Linked DNA regions of Oryza sativa Japonica Group. The protein of the gene in region 1 binds, or shares a complex with, the protein of each later gene. Links are inferred from orthologs where the notes say so. Each region holds a gene or a part of one and is shown on either strand. Other genes may lie near its edges.

The links.
Region 2: photosynthetic NDH subunit of subcomplex B 5, chloroplastic (region 1) and photosynthetic NDH subunit of lumenal location 3, chloroplastic share a complex: the UniProt entries of both Arabidopsis thaliana proteins name them as parts of the chloroplast NDH complex. The link is inferred for Oryza sativa Japonica Group from reciprocal best matches to the Arabidopsis thaliana genes PnsB5 and PnsL3.
Region 3: photosynthetic NDH subunit of subcomplex B 5, chloroplastic (region 1) and photosynthetic NDH subunit of subcomplex B 4, chloroplastic share a complex: the UniProt entries of both Arabidopsis thaliana proteins name them as parts of the chloroplast NDH complex. The link is inferred for Oryza sativa Japonica Group from reciprocal best matches to the Arabidopsis thaliana genes PnsB5 and PnsB4.

What each region holds. Positions count from the first base shown.
Region 1 is NC_089035.1:41,426,643-41,431,454, reverse strand, and holds photosynthetic NDH subunit of subcomplex B 5, chloroplastic, read right to left. Parts: upstream 3,020-4,812; 5' UTR 2,242-3,019; coding exon 1,960-2,241; intron 1,795-1,959; coding exon 1,740-1,794; intron 1,612-1,739; coding exon 1,543-1,611; intron 1,401-1,542; coding exon 1,342-1,400; intron 1,240-1,341; coding exon 1,003-1,239; 3' UTR 659-1,002; downstream 1-658. Other genes in the region: serine/threonine-protein kinase-like protein ACR4, read left to right, coding at 1-31, 166-429; uncharacterized protein, read right to left, coding at 3,168-3,266, 3,449-3,559, 3,652-3,711, 3,812-3,929, 4,189-4,289, 4,367-4,438, 4,538-4,625, 4,756-4,812. UniProt on the Arabidopsis thaliana protein: NDH shuttles electrons from NAD(P)H:plastoquinone, via FMN and iron-sulfur (Fe-S) centers, to quinones in the photosynthetic chain and possibly in a chloroplast respiratory chain.
Region 2 is NC_089041.1:312,068-315,537, reverse strand, and holds photosynthetic NDH subunit of lumenal location 3, chloroplastic, read right to left. Parts: upstream 1,873-3,470; 5' UTR 1,799-1,872; coding exon 1,531-1,798; intron 1,395-1,530; coding exon 994-1,394; 3' UTR 813-993; downstream 1-812. Other genes in the region: kinesin-like protein KIN-14N, read left to right, coding at 1-36, 132-236, 330-497. UniProt on the Arabidopsis thaliana protein: NDH shuttles electrons from NAD(P)H:plastoquinone, via FMN and iron-sulfur (Fe-S) centers, to quinones in the photosynthetic chain and possibly in a chloroplast respiratory chain.
Region 3 is NC_089036.1:31,695,741-31,699,665, reverse strand, and holds photosynthetic NDH subunit of subcomplex B 4, chloroplastic, read right to left. Parts: upstream 2,300-3,925; 5' UTR 2,194-2,299; coding exon 2,104-2,193; intron 2,000-2,103; coding exon 1,955-1,999; intron 1,861-1,954; coding exon 1,707-1,860; intron 1,613-1,706; coding exon 1,557-1,612; intron 1,468-1,556; coding exon 1,396-1,467; intron 1,249-1,395; coding exon 1,120-1,248; 3' UTR 813-1,119; downstream 1-812. UniProt on the Arabidopsis thaliana protein: NDH shuttles electrons from NAD(P)H:plastoquinone, via FMN and iron-sulfur (Fe-S) centers, to quinones in the photosynthetic chain and possibly in a chloroplast respiratory chain.

The DNA of each region.
Region 1 (4,812 bases):
GGCTCTGTCTGATCAAAACATCATTCGATGGGTAAATTCCAACACTTCCAAAGTTTGCAGCTGACACACCCAATTCCTCATTTGTTAGAGGCTTTCCCTGTTCTTGTAATAATCTGTCGACCGTTGTAAAATCCGTACTAAATTTGCAGTTTTGCTGATACGCAGGTGCAGAACTTCCAACAATCAAGTGATATCTCTGCAATTGCAGATAACAGAATGGCCAGTGCCTATACCTCAGAAGGCATGAGAGAATTTCTGCGGTTGACATCGTGGTGCGTGAACCCGACGAGCGAGCATCGCCCATCGATGAACTTGGTGGAGGCGGAGATAAACCGAATTCGCGAGCAAGAGATGAGGATGACCACAATCATGCCAGAAAGCACACCAACTGTGACTCTAGGTAGTCAGCTCTTCACAACATCAGGTTGAAGAAGAACTAGCTAGTTTCCTCTCATCATCAGAGTTATAGACTAGCAATTCCCTTTCCATTTATTATTTCTCTCTCTCTTTTCTTTGGTCTTCATAGTGATTCAGCTGTAACTCAAGTGTACAAAAAAGGAACAGCTGTGAGGTTCCCTTTATTCCTTTTCCTGTACAAGAAAAGAATGATATTTCCTTTTCTTTTACATATTGATAATATTGGAGGCTGATGCCAAAGTTATTCCATTATACTACTATATATATCTATTGAATTAGTGATGTCATTCACAGGATTTTCTCCATTACATTGGGGGGAAAACAAAATACACATGACAGAATTTTCAGTCTCCTTTTGTACCTGGCTGAGAACTTCAGAGTTGAGACTGTCAGAGACATAGAAAGCAGGCCTTACAGTAGATGAGATGATCCATACACACATCATTTCATCTCAAAGTTCTTTATTTTGAAGAGACTCATCTTGCAGCTTTGCCACCCTGCTTTTCTTTGGAGTGGTTCTGATTTTCTGAACTGTTTCTGCAGCTGCATCTAACAAATGTGACCCCCCATTTCTGAATACCATATCTAAGACGATTTCACAATCTCATCTCTTCTGTCGACGGTGAAGTCCCAGAGCTCGCCGTACTTCTCGTTGAAGTCCCAGATGTCCATGGTGTTGTAGTCGGCGATGAGCTTGTCGCGAGCCGATCTCTCCATCATGTAGATCTCCGGCTCAAAGTTGTGTGGCTTGTCCGGTTTGTCCATCTCGATAACGCAGAACACGACGACGAACACTGCTGCGCCGATGTAGAGGTACTCCCCCTAGTGGCAGAAGTAGACACATATTCAGAGAGCTCAAGAGCCAAGACAGATTGTGAAATGTGATACATGTCAGTAGGCTGGAACTACTGCTCAATATGTTACCGGAACATTGAAGGCCATGCCAAGGATGATTGCAGGAGGAAACAACCAGGAGATCAGTGCTGCAAGAGATGGCCCATCAGTGCAAATTGAGCAAGCTTGTCTTAAGAGAAGAAAGATCTGATTTTTTTTCTCTGATTTATCTGAAAGAATCTGATTTTTCTCTGATTTATCCAAGTGAGAAAGGAATTTGGCTGTTACTACCTTGGAAGCCCTGAGGAGGTTCAGCTTCTTGGTACCACTCAGAGACATCCTCCCAAAAGCCCTTCTTATCTTCAGTGTCAAATGATTTTTTTTTCCACATCATATCACATAAGAATCAGAAATTAGCACACATGAGCATGATTACGCATTTTGATTCAAGGAATGGATAACTGGATAAGATAGCCCAGAAAAAGAACCTTGGGTTTCATTATATGTGTGGTGACCATCATACACTCCATACTCGAAGTCGTCCTGCAAAGCAGATTCTTTTCAGTGTCAAAACCATTTCTTCAGACAACACAGCACAGCAGCAGCAATCACTGAAGAAAGAATCAAAGAAACCATGGAAACTGCTTGGAATAGAGAAAAATAATGAAATTCTCAACACGGTGGCCGGCGACGGCGAGGAGGACAGACCGGGCTGACGCCGTTGGTGCGCCACTTATCAATGGGGTCCTCGTTCAGGTCGGGCTCGATCTCCGTCAGTGGCCCGGGCCCCGCCCTCGCCACCACCGCCCGGCCTCTGCTCCGGCAGCAGCAGCAGCCGCCATGCTCCGTCTTTAGCTGCCTCGCTGCTACTGCTGCTGCTGCTGCTGCTCCTGTTGCTGTTGCTGCATCGTCATGACGAAGGCGAGCTTTTGCAGTGGCAGACGGTGACGCAGAAATGGCGGACACCAAGCTGCTGCTGCTGCTCATCATCTCGCTCCAAACGCTGAGCTCTGCTGCTCGCTTCTTGCTTAGCTGGTAGCTGCTGCTGCACTTATACTTTGCTGCAAGGAGACAAAAACAAGAGGATAATGGGTATGGGGCATGTACCGTCCAGGATTTTTCGCTGCTTTTTTCCTCTTTTCTTTCTTTTTCTTCATGCCTGGAAAGAAATCTGCATCACCTCATTAGTCAGTCAGTAATCAGGTCAGATATGCATGATAATCTTGTGAATGAATAGAACTAGTATTTGTTAGTACTACATTATTGCATTCTGATGAATCTGAATTGTTAGCAACAGCAAGCACAGAGCCTTGTGTTTTACACATCAGGAGAGACAAGGAAAAGACAACTGCAACATGAGGACATGATTTGTAAATGAAAAGAGCAGAAAAAGAACCAGCAACCCAGTGTCACTGTGTCGGACGTCACTGATTCAGTGGCTGAGATACAGTGCACCATCAGCAGCGCTTTTTCACTGCTTCAGTATGCTTTTTATGCGTCATACTTGGCTCTTGTGCCTTGAGTTAGCAGGCTGCTGCATTTCTTGTAGGAGTATTCATTAACTGAACAAACAAGGCAGCAGTTCATGAACCTCTTTCCACATTTTTTTTTACTGAAATCTTTCCACATTTTGTTCCAAGAAGAAACTAAATTTCTTACAACATGCATTAAACATTGCATAATACAGCAGGTCCTACAACAGAACAACAATAGCATATCTGCTCAACTTCCATCGGAGAATTATTCCGCAGCCGTCCAGGACCTATTGCCCCCCTAAACTGCAAAGAAATCAGTGTCAGGACTTCTTGGAGTATTCCAGAAACAATATAATGTCCCATCCAAAAAACCAGAAACAATCTAATGATGGAAGCCTAGAGTCCACCAAAGGATTACCTGGTTCAAATAGAATTGGATAACTAGCTTTGTCTGGCCTTCATAACCAGCTCTTCTGTAGTAGCGCCAATGATCTCATTGGCACGCTTCAGAGATAGACAGCATATTCTTCCAATAGAATCCTGCAAGCATCACTGGCTTTATTATCCATGATTAAAATAGAGAAAATGCGAGTAACAACATAATGGTATTTCATTTAAAAATTCTTTTAGATTCTATACATTCTGAAATTTATCTAAGTTTTTTTTGGGGATATATATCTCACTATGATTTGGTACTGCTGTAACAAGCTGTAAGAACTCACTCTTGTAATGATGCCAAGCCTCTCTAACTTCTGAACAGCATCCATCACCTCAAAATTGCATTGCAAGCCAAACTCTTCTTGGATTAACTCTTCACATTGTAAGTCAAGATCCTAGCATTGAGTGCCAAGAATATTCAACTCAATTTTTATACTTGCACAACTTCAGAAACAAAACATGCTTGTTTCAAATACCAAAGCAATACCTCAATAGTCGCCTTTCCATTTTCCATCAAAATATAGTAGGAAATTATAATCTCCTTGACCTGGACATCAGAATTCAGAAACCACAAAGATGAAAATAATTGTGAGCACAAGTCTCTGATATGCTTATTCTGAATCAAGTACTACAATATGGAGACCTACTTCCTGCTGAATCACATCATCACAGAGATGGAGAAGTGTGCCTTTCCCACTATCTAGCTGTTTGTCATACATTGATTGAGTTATTAGGTTTTGATATGTTGCCATGTTCTGTTGAAACCTGAATCAAAGGTAGCTTATTTACCAAATTTGTCCAATACAACCAATACAGCAAATAAAGTATCATCATAAATAAGAAAATGCTGAAGGAATCAGGGAAGCAAAACTGCATTTTATGGAGGTATTCTAAAGTAATTCTGGCTGGATGAGTAAACAAAAATCCTCCCTGTCCCTGCTCTATTATATACACAATGCAGATTACCGACAAGATGACAAGACGAATACCCAATCAAAACAAATATATCAACCAAGGCACTCACGATAAATAGATCTTGGCACAATATCCAGCCAGGGCAGAAAGGACGGCAACTACAACCCAGAAATCAGCTTTAGGCATTTCGAGCGAACTGACAAGTGTAACCTGAGCAATGTGAAAAAAATAATCATCAGGTGATGAATCACAACCCAATCAAGTGCAACCAGTTCCAGTCCACTTACAAGTCCAATGACAACAGAAACAATAAACTGAACCCAGTCCATTGGTGTGAGGCTTGGATTTTTCTTCTCAGGCTGCAACAGTCATAATTTCTCTTCAGCATAAGTCCAATTGAAGAAAGCAATATGGATGTCACCACATTATTCTTTGGCATATTAAGCTTCTACACTTACCAAAACCAGCTCCATATCTGCCATTGGAATATTTTTGAAGTGCTTTACATGAATTGATCTATCATTCTGGCCCTTAGGGCTTTTCCTCCTGAAAGAACAGTCAGAAATCAGTTATAACACAGTAGTTCAAGACATCATGAAAGCAGCCAATTCACAACCAGGGCGCACCCGAAAAAGGTTTCCTGCATCCTCAGATGCAAATAATTTACGGGACTTACCTGTACAAGACAATCACCTCTTCAAATGTAGGCTCTTGAATTGTAACCTTGCCAATT
Region 2 (3,470 bases), on another chromosome or scaffold:
AGCGGTGCCACCGGAGATAGGCTAAAGGAGACACAGGTAATTTGCTATTTCACACCTCAGTTTTTGTTGCATCTAAGGTGTGTACATGGTACAATGCGTAACCACTGTTATGATATAAATTTGCTATTTAGGCTATTAATAAGAGCCTCTCATGCTTGAGCGATGTAATCTTCTCCATTGCAAAGAAAGAGGAGCACGTTCCGTTCAGGAACTCAAAATTAACGTACTTGCTACAGGTAAATTCTAAGCACTCAGCTAAGAATATCTGCAAACTTGTTCTAGTTTCCGTGGCTATAATGTGTGAATGATTTTGTTCCCCTTGGACACAGCCATGCCTTGGAGGAGACTCGAAGACACTTATGTTTGTGAATCTGTCTCCAGAGGTGTCGTCTACAGGGGAGTCAATTTGCTCGCTACGGTTCGCAGCACGGGTGAACTCGTGCGAGATTGGCATCCCTCGTCGTCAAACCCAAGTGCGTAGCTTGGCGCAAGGATGAGTTGGCTTGGACAAAATGAATGTCCATGACTAATTGTATTTGTGTGTTGTTTGAGGGATGCAATGGATCATTTGCATCCCCTCCGTGTGTTGGTTGCTTAGAGGGTGTGTATAATATTCTGATTTGGCATGTGGCTTTGTTGATTGTACGAGCATCGCATTGCATTACATTACAGATAGTACTGTAGTATCTAATTTGTGGCTGCATCAATGTGCAGTGGTAGTAACAAGATGTGAGGTTGGTTGTATTTTATTGGAGAAGTGCCCTGTGTTGTGTTGGGCTGGCTTTGTTTGGATGATAAAGACAGACAAGTAATTGGAATTGAAATGCTCTGTTGCTTTTTAGTACTTACTGAGTATGAAGTTATATTGCATAGCGTAGATGTGAATATGAATATGTGTGTGATGAGGAGGATATATATATATATATATATATATGTATGTATGACAAGTAAAGTGAGAGAAATACAGTACTAGCTAGTACACCAACAGAAACACTAGGCCATCTTTGCCATGACCTCCTGGAGGATGATCTTGGTGTCGGCATAGGAGGAGCCGATCTGGGTGTCGTCCTTGGTGCCGCAGGCCTTCTGGAGGCGCTCGAAGCTGTCGAAGAGGCGGGTGGCGAGGTCGAGCAGCGGGGGGCGCTGGTCGTCGGAGGCGGCGGAGATGAGCTTGTCGAAGTCGAAGTACATGAAGGTGGACTTGAGGCGGAGGTACTTGGTGACGTAGTTGGCCCTGTCGGCGTTGTTGCCCAGCAGGTCCTCCAGCGCCAGCAGGTCGAACGCCGTGCTCCGCAGCCTGTACGCGTGCGCCGCGTAGCTCGGCCCGATGTCGGCTATGTAGATGCCGTTCCTCACGAACGTCCGGCTCCCCGTCTCGCCATTGTTCAGCTCCTCTGCACACACAATATATATATATATATATATATATATATATATATATATATATATATATATATATATATATATATATATTGCAATCACTATATTTATATATTTTGTGTGTGTAATGGTAATTAATTTACTACTCACTGTTGACAATCTTTGGCACCGGCAAAGGGAACTCGGTGAGCCACCACCCATTGTTTGCCGGCTCGTCGTCGGTGGCGGCGCAGGCGGGATGATGCTGGAAGATGGTGGCGGCGGCGGCTGCGAGGCCGACGGAGAGGCAGGCTGATCTCCGTCCGCCAGTGGAGCACGCCGCCACGAGGAGGAGCAGCCTCCGTGGTGTTGGCCGGAGGAGGCGGCTGGTGCTGGCAGTGGCGGCGGTGAGGCCTGCTGATTGGAGATAAGTGGCCATCGAGGATGTGTGTCAGTGTAGCAAGGGAATGAATGGATAGCGCGCGATGCCACGAGAGGATGAGGAAAACCTTCGCCTTTGCAAAAGTGCACCACATAGATATTTCTCTCGGTTTGATGGGGCTGCCTCTCCTAGGGGCCGACAGAATGGCTGCATGAAGGAATTAGTCTAACTTGCCTCCCTCCTCTCTCGCTCTTGATTGAATCGTCTCTCTTAACCGCTAAACCTGGTATAATGCCTCCACCATCTTCTTATTCTGCAGGAGGTGATTCAGTGATTTTGAGTTAGTTTGTTTCGTTTTCCACGCACACACTTCCCGAATACTAAACGGTGTGTTTGTAAAAATTTTCTATACGAAAGTTGCTTTAAAAAATCATATTAATCAATTTTTTAAGTTTAAAATAGTTTATACTCAATTAATCATGTGCTAATGTCTCACCTCGTTTTGTGTATCTTCTCAATCTTCTCTCTTCCTCCTCTCAATCTGGTGCAAACCAAGGCATTTACATGTGGTTAGGGGTGGACAGAAAGCTTGTGGTTCGTTAGCTCACTCGGCTCGTGACAGGCTCGACTTGGCTTGTCTCGTTTGAATTTCCTAACGAGCCGAGCTGGCATCTTAGCTCGTTAGAGATAACGAGCCAGCTCGAGCTGCTCGCGAGCCTTAACGAGCTATGGGGTTACCAGGCCAAGTCAGGTCCACAGCTAACAGCACACATACATTATGGCCCATTGGCCCAATAGACTCATCAAAAAAAACCCTAGTTCACCTCAGCCTGAGACCCTGACTCCCTGTCCACCACCGTCTCGCACATATCGCATTCGCATCGCATCAGCGGCTTGGGCGCTCGGTGCATCTCGGCATCCGCATCTCGGCCATCGCCATCGGCGCTGCGCCACGCCGCCGTGTGAGCGCCATCGCCACCGCGCCAAGCCGCCGCCGCCAACCCCCATCGAGCGCCTGCCGCCGCCGCTCTCCGCCTCTCCCCCAGTGCCCGCCGTCGAGCTCGCCTCCTCCTCGTGGTCCAACCGTGAACTGTCCAAGTGTCGGCGGAGCTGTGAAGGTTGAGTTCATCCCCTCCACCATCGAGCTCCTCTCTGTAGTCGCCGTCGAGCTCAAGCTCGAGCTCGTTTTCTCCGCCGTCAAGCTCCTCCCCTCCTCCCCTAGTTGCAGACTTGAAGTGCAGGCGAGGTTGAGCTGCTTCCTATGCTCGCCGGCTATGTCTCTTGCCCCTAGCTCGTGAGCTTAACGAGCTAGCTCGAGCTTGTTGATGAGCCGAGCCGAGTCAACTCGATATCTATCCCTACATGTGATTCCATTTGTACACGTCAACAAGTTTGACCATGGTTAACTACCCCGTGAGTAGAAACTTTGCAACAATAGAAGAAATCGATTTGTAACTGTTTCGAATTTGGAGGATGCGATTCAGCACAACGCAATAGTGGAAGGAGGCAAAATAGACTTAAGCTATGTTCGATGCCCATTTTACGCGCACGCTTTTTCAAACTGCTAAATGGCGTGTTTTTTTAATATAAAAAGTTTCTATATGAAAGTTGCTTAAAAAATCAAATTAATCTTTTTTAAAAAAATTAGCTAATACTTAATTAATTACGCGCTAATACTGTACCACGGCGAACACAGCCTTAATCCCTGGAAGAATCGTCCACTACTATT
Region 3 (3,925 bases), on another chromosome or scaffold:
GCGTTCATCTGTGTTATCACAAAGACACCAACCAGTACACAGTAGGCGATCATACCAGTATCCTGTGTGGGATCAGCAGCTAGTCCTACTCCTTGCAGCTTTGCGCAGCGACCAGTGTACTAGCACAGTACATCGCCTGATCGTTTCAGTCTCGATCACGCCGCTGCTGCTGGCCGGTCTGTTCGCGCCGTACGCATGCCCATCTGCTGCTCCTGCAGCCCTACTCCGGCTCGCCGCGACCTCACCCGCACATGTCGGGAGCGAGCCGATCACGATCGCTTGCATCAGCCATGGCCCAGCCGATTCAAGCCTGTCGAGAGACCTGTGTCGAAATAACTATTGTTAGTCTCTGATGACTGATGAGCTGATCGACGGAATACTACGAAGTTCTGCACCCTATACAAGTAGTATATACATGTGCTACCTACTGTGGTAGTGTGGTCTGTACTGTACGTTGAGTGCAGACTGATTGCTGCTGGTTCGCGGCCTGTAGTGGAGCAGCTCAAGTATGATCAGCGGTTCTTCTTCCTCGATCGAATGGCCGTGGCCGACGATGGCGTCCAATTCCCAGCGCGCGACCACCAGCGCAAGCAGGCCGAACTAACGGAGTTTTTTGGGCCAGTCCATCACCGAGCGGCCCGGTAAAGGTAGCCCATAATCGCTACCATTCTGTACTGGACCCAAATAAAGTTGGCCCGACACCGTGAGAGCCGACAGAACGAAAGCATATTGGATCGCCACAATTTGGTTGCGATCTGACAAAACTTCCGTCTCCACAGGGCACGTATATCCACCATGGTGTAGGTCTATATCAGTCGATTTACACAATTTATATATTTTGGAAGCAATATCCACCATGGTGAACGGTACAGGTTCTTTGATTAACATGGAGTAGTACATTCCTTCTTTTAGCCTACACTACAAATGCAATATAATGCATTCATGCAGACGGAGCACCTATTTGCTTTCCTTTTGAGTCTGATGCCAACATTTACAGGCGCTATCAGGCAACTGTGTATCTTGCTATTACACAGCCGCTCTGTACGGTATTACAGAATGCAGCCGCATCGCGCCATGATCATGCAGTCATCCATCCATGCGCAATCTCTCATTCATCCATCAGTTTGTAAGCTGCTCCTCCTTGGCTGCTTCCTCGAGTTCTCTGAGCCCTCCGACCCTCTGCTCGATCTCCTCGAGTAGCTCCTCCCTCAGGAGCTCCTCTCTTGCAGACGCCTCCAGGTCCTCTTGCTGCAGAATCAACCATGGGAGAGTGGAGATCGATCAGCAAAATGACTGGTTATCTTAGTAGCTTCGCACAACTAGAGTTTGTCTAATTGTCTGAATGTTCTTTCTTCGTGATAAAGGAAAAAAAAAAAGCCGTAATGAAAGACATACCCGGTCATAGTACCAGTGCACGGTGCCGTCACCCCCTTGTCCCCTGTACGCCTCACTGTCGTAGAAAGGATCCTGTAAATTCACACAAGACCGTGTCAGTAACACATATCGAAGATGTAATTTCGTTCCAAGTTGTAGTGGCATATGTTCTGCGTGCTTGCCTTCATGGACGCAAAGAAGCAGATGCCCCAGACTGTGAAGAAGGCGTAGAAGGTATCTACGAGACAGACAGAGAAATTTTTTTGTGAAAAGTTTCAGTTTCAGACGTAACAACAAACTGCAGGAAAGGTGAAACGACGACGACGACTCACAGACGCTCTTGAGGGCGGCGTCGCTGAGATGCCAGATCGACTTGTGCACGACGTAGTCCCTCTGCAGGTCGACGTGCTCCACCATCGTCACCATCAGCGTCACCACGTCCAACGGGGACGCGTTCGCCTTCACTGAACCCCTCCCGGCCGATTTCTGCAAACGCTAAGACCGCATTACTTTGCCTCACCAATCACCACGGATTTCTTCTTTCTCGGTGAAAAAATTAAAATGCACTGGGACCTTTCACCTTGCAACGGCTGGAGTTGGACCTCGGGTCATGGAATCCACCGAGCTGCAAATTTAACAACAACATTTGAACAAGTAGGTGAAATTCGCAAGGAATTCAGGAAAGCAGTTTTTGCATGAACGCGAAGGGGAGAATGGACGGTGCGGTACCGTTGCACGGCAGCGGCCATGGAGCTGGGCTCTGTTCGCGGAGTGAAGAGCAGAGAAGTGGGGGGACGACTTGAGCAGCGGCAACGCCATTGCTGGTAGGCTGCTGCTTCAGTAGCGGGTTGGCGATGAGCTTGTTGTTGTCAGTGTAGCGGGCTCACGTTTGGCTCAGGGGTGAAACCTGTAACCTGTAATCTGTATGGAAAATTTTAGTGGATAAGGTCAGACTTTTGGGTGGCCAACCATTGTCTGATCTTGGGCAGACGAAAAGCACAAGAATTTTGGGCTTGGTTGAAGCGGGCTTGAGCGTTGCTAGGCCTTGCCCGGTCAAGGTCATGTTTGGGCCGGATGGGATTAGGTTGACCCGTGGGCTCGTGGCCCGTTACGTGCATCCGTCCGCCATTTCTTGGAGGGCGCTACGGCTTGGCGTCCGGCATCTCACCAAAAATCGGACGCCCATGCAGGCATGTGAGAACGAACCCTGTCACTGTAACGTATGTGTCTAACTGCTTCTTTTCATTCTTTTCTCCTCTCTTTAGATATTTTTTATCCTAAATTACTTATCCAATTTACGATCCGATCACACCGTTCTATTCGTTGCAATTAAATCTTTACAATGAGATATCACATGATTATATTATGTCAAAAGAAAAACATGTATTTCAAAACGTTAAAACAAAATGTTTCGTACGTGATAGTGATATGTTTCAATATGTGTCATCGGTGTGTTTCACAAAATTCATGAAACTAACTGCTACTACTCTCTCTCCTCTCTCTCCACCTCATCCATGCACACATGTATGTATTTTAGCAAGCTTCAAAATAATTTTTCTCTTAAATTACTTATCCAATTTATGATCCGATCACACCATTATATTTGTTCTAATTAAATCTTTACAATAAAATATCACATGATTTTATTTTGATAAAAGAAAAATATATGTTTCAATTCGTTAATACTTGTTGTTTCATATGTGCCAGCGACATGTTTCAACGTGTATTTTCACCATGTTTCATAAAATACTTAAATGTTTCGGTTGTTGATTTTTTTTGTTTCACCATATATAACATAATGTTTCACTTGCTGGTCAACGCTCACCCCCGCACTGCCGCGCGCATACGCATGCATGTAGGCCGCCCATGCTGCATTGTTCACGTGCCACGTTGCTTGCCTCCCCTGTATGTGTTGCTTGCGCTGCTGCTTGCATACGCTCCCTCCCTCTCCCTTCTATTATTACATGTGCCTAATTTTTTCCTCAAATTTTAAATATTTTTTTCTCCAAAATTATATATTCTGATCTAAATTTCAATGATACCATTAGATTCATCATCATTAAATCTTTATAACAAGATCTCACATGGTTATATTTTGATAAAAATATACATGTGTCTCAAAAAATAACTTGTCTCACCATTGATAGAAAACTGTTTCATCACATGTACACAAATATTACAACTCACCTCGTGAATTGTTTCAAATTTAGAGAAATACAACAATTTACTAACTGAAACAATCACAACCACTACACAAAACGTTAAATACCAATGAGTGAAACATAAAAAAAATCATATGAAAAATAAAATATTTTTGCACAAATACTTAATTATGTTGAAATATTTTTAAATCGGACGCTACAAATCGTACGTTCAATATTTTTTCAAATATCGGAGCCTACCAATCGTACGTTCAATATTTTTTTAAAGACGCTGCTCCTCGTTTGTATGCAGGGACACGTTGAAGGAGCGAGGTTGTCGCATGCATGCATGCATGCAGGAGTAGACCTGGTTGCCAAGATGACGTGAGGCATCATTACTCTGTCTCTCT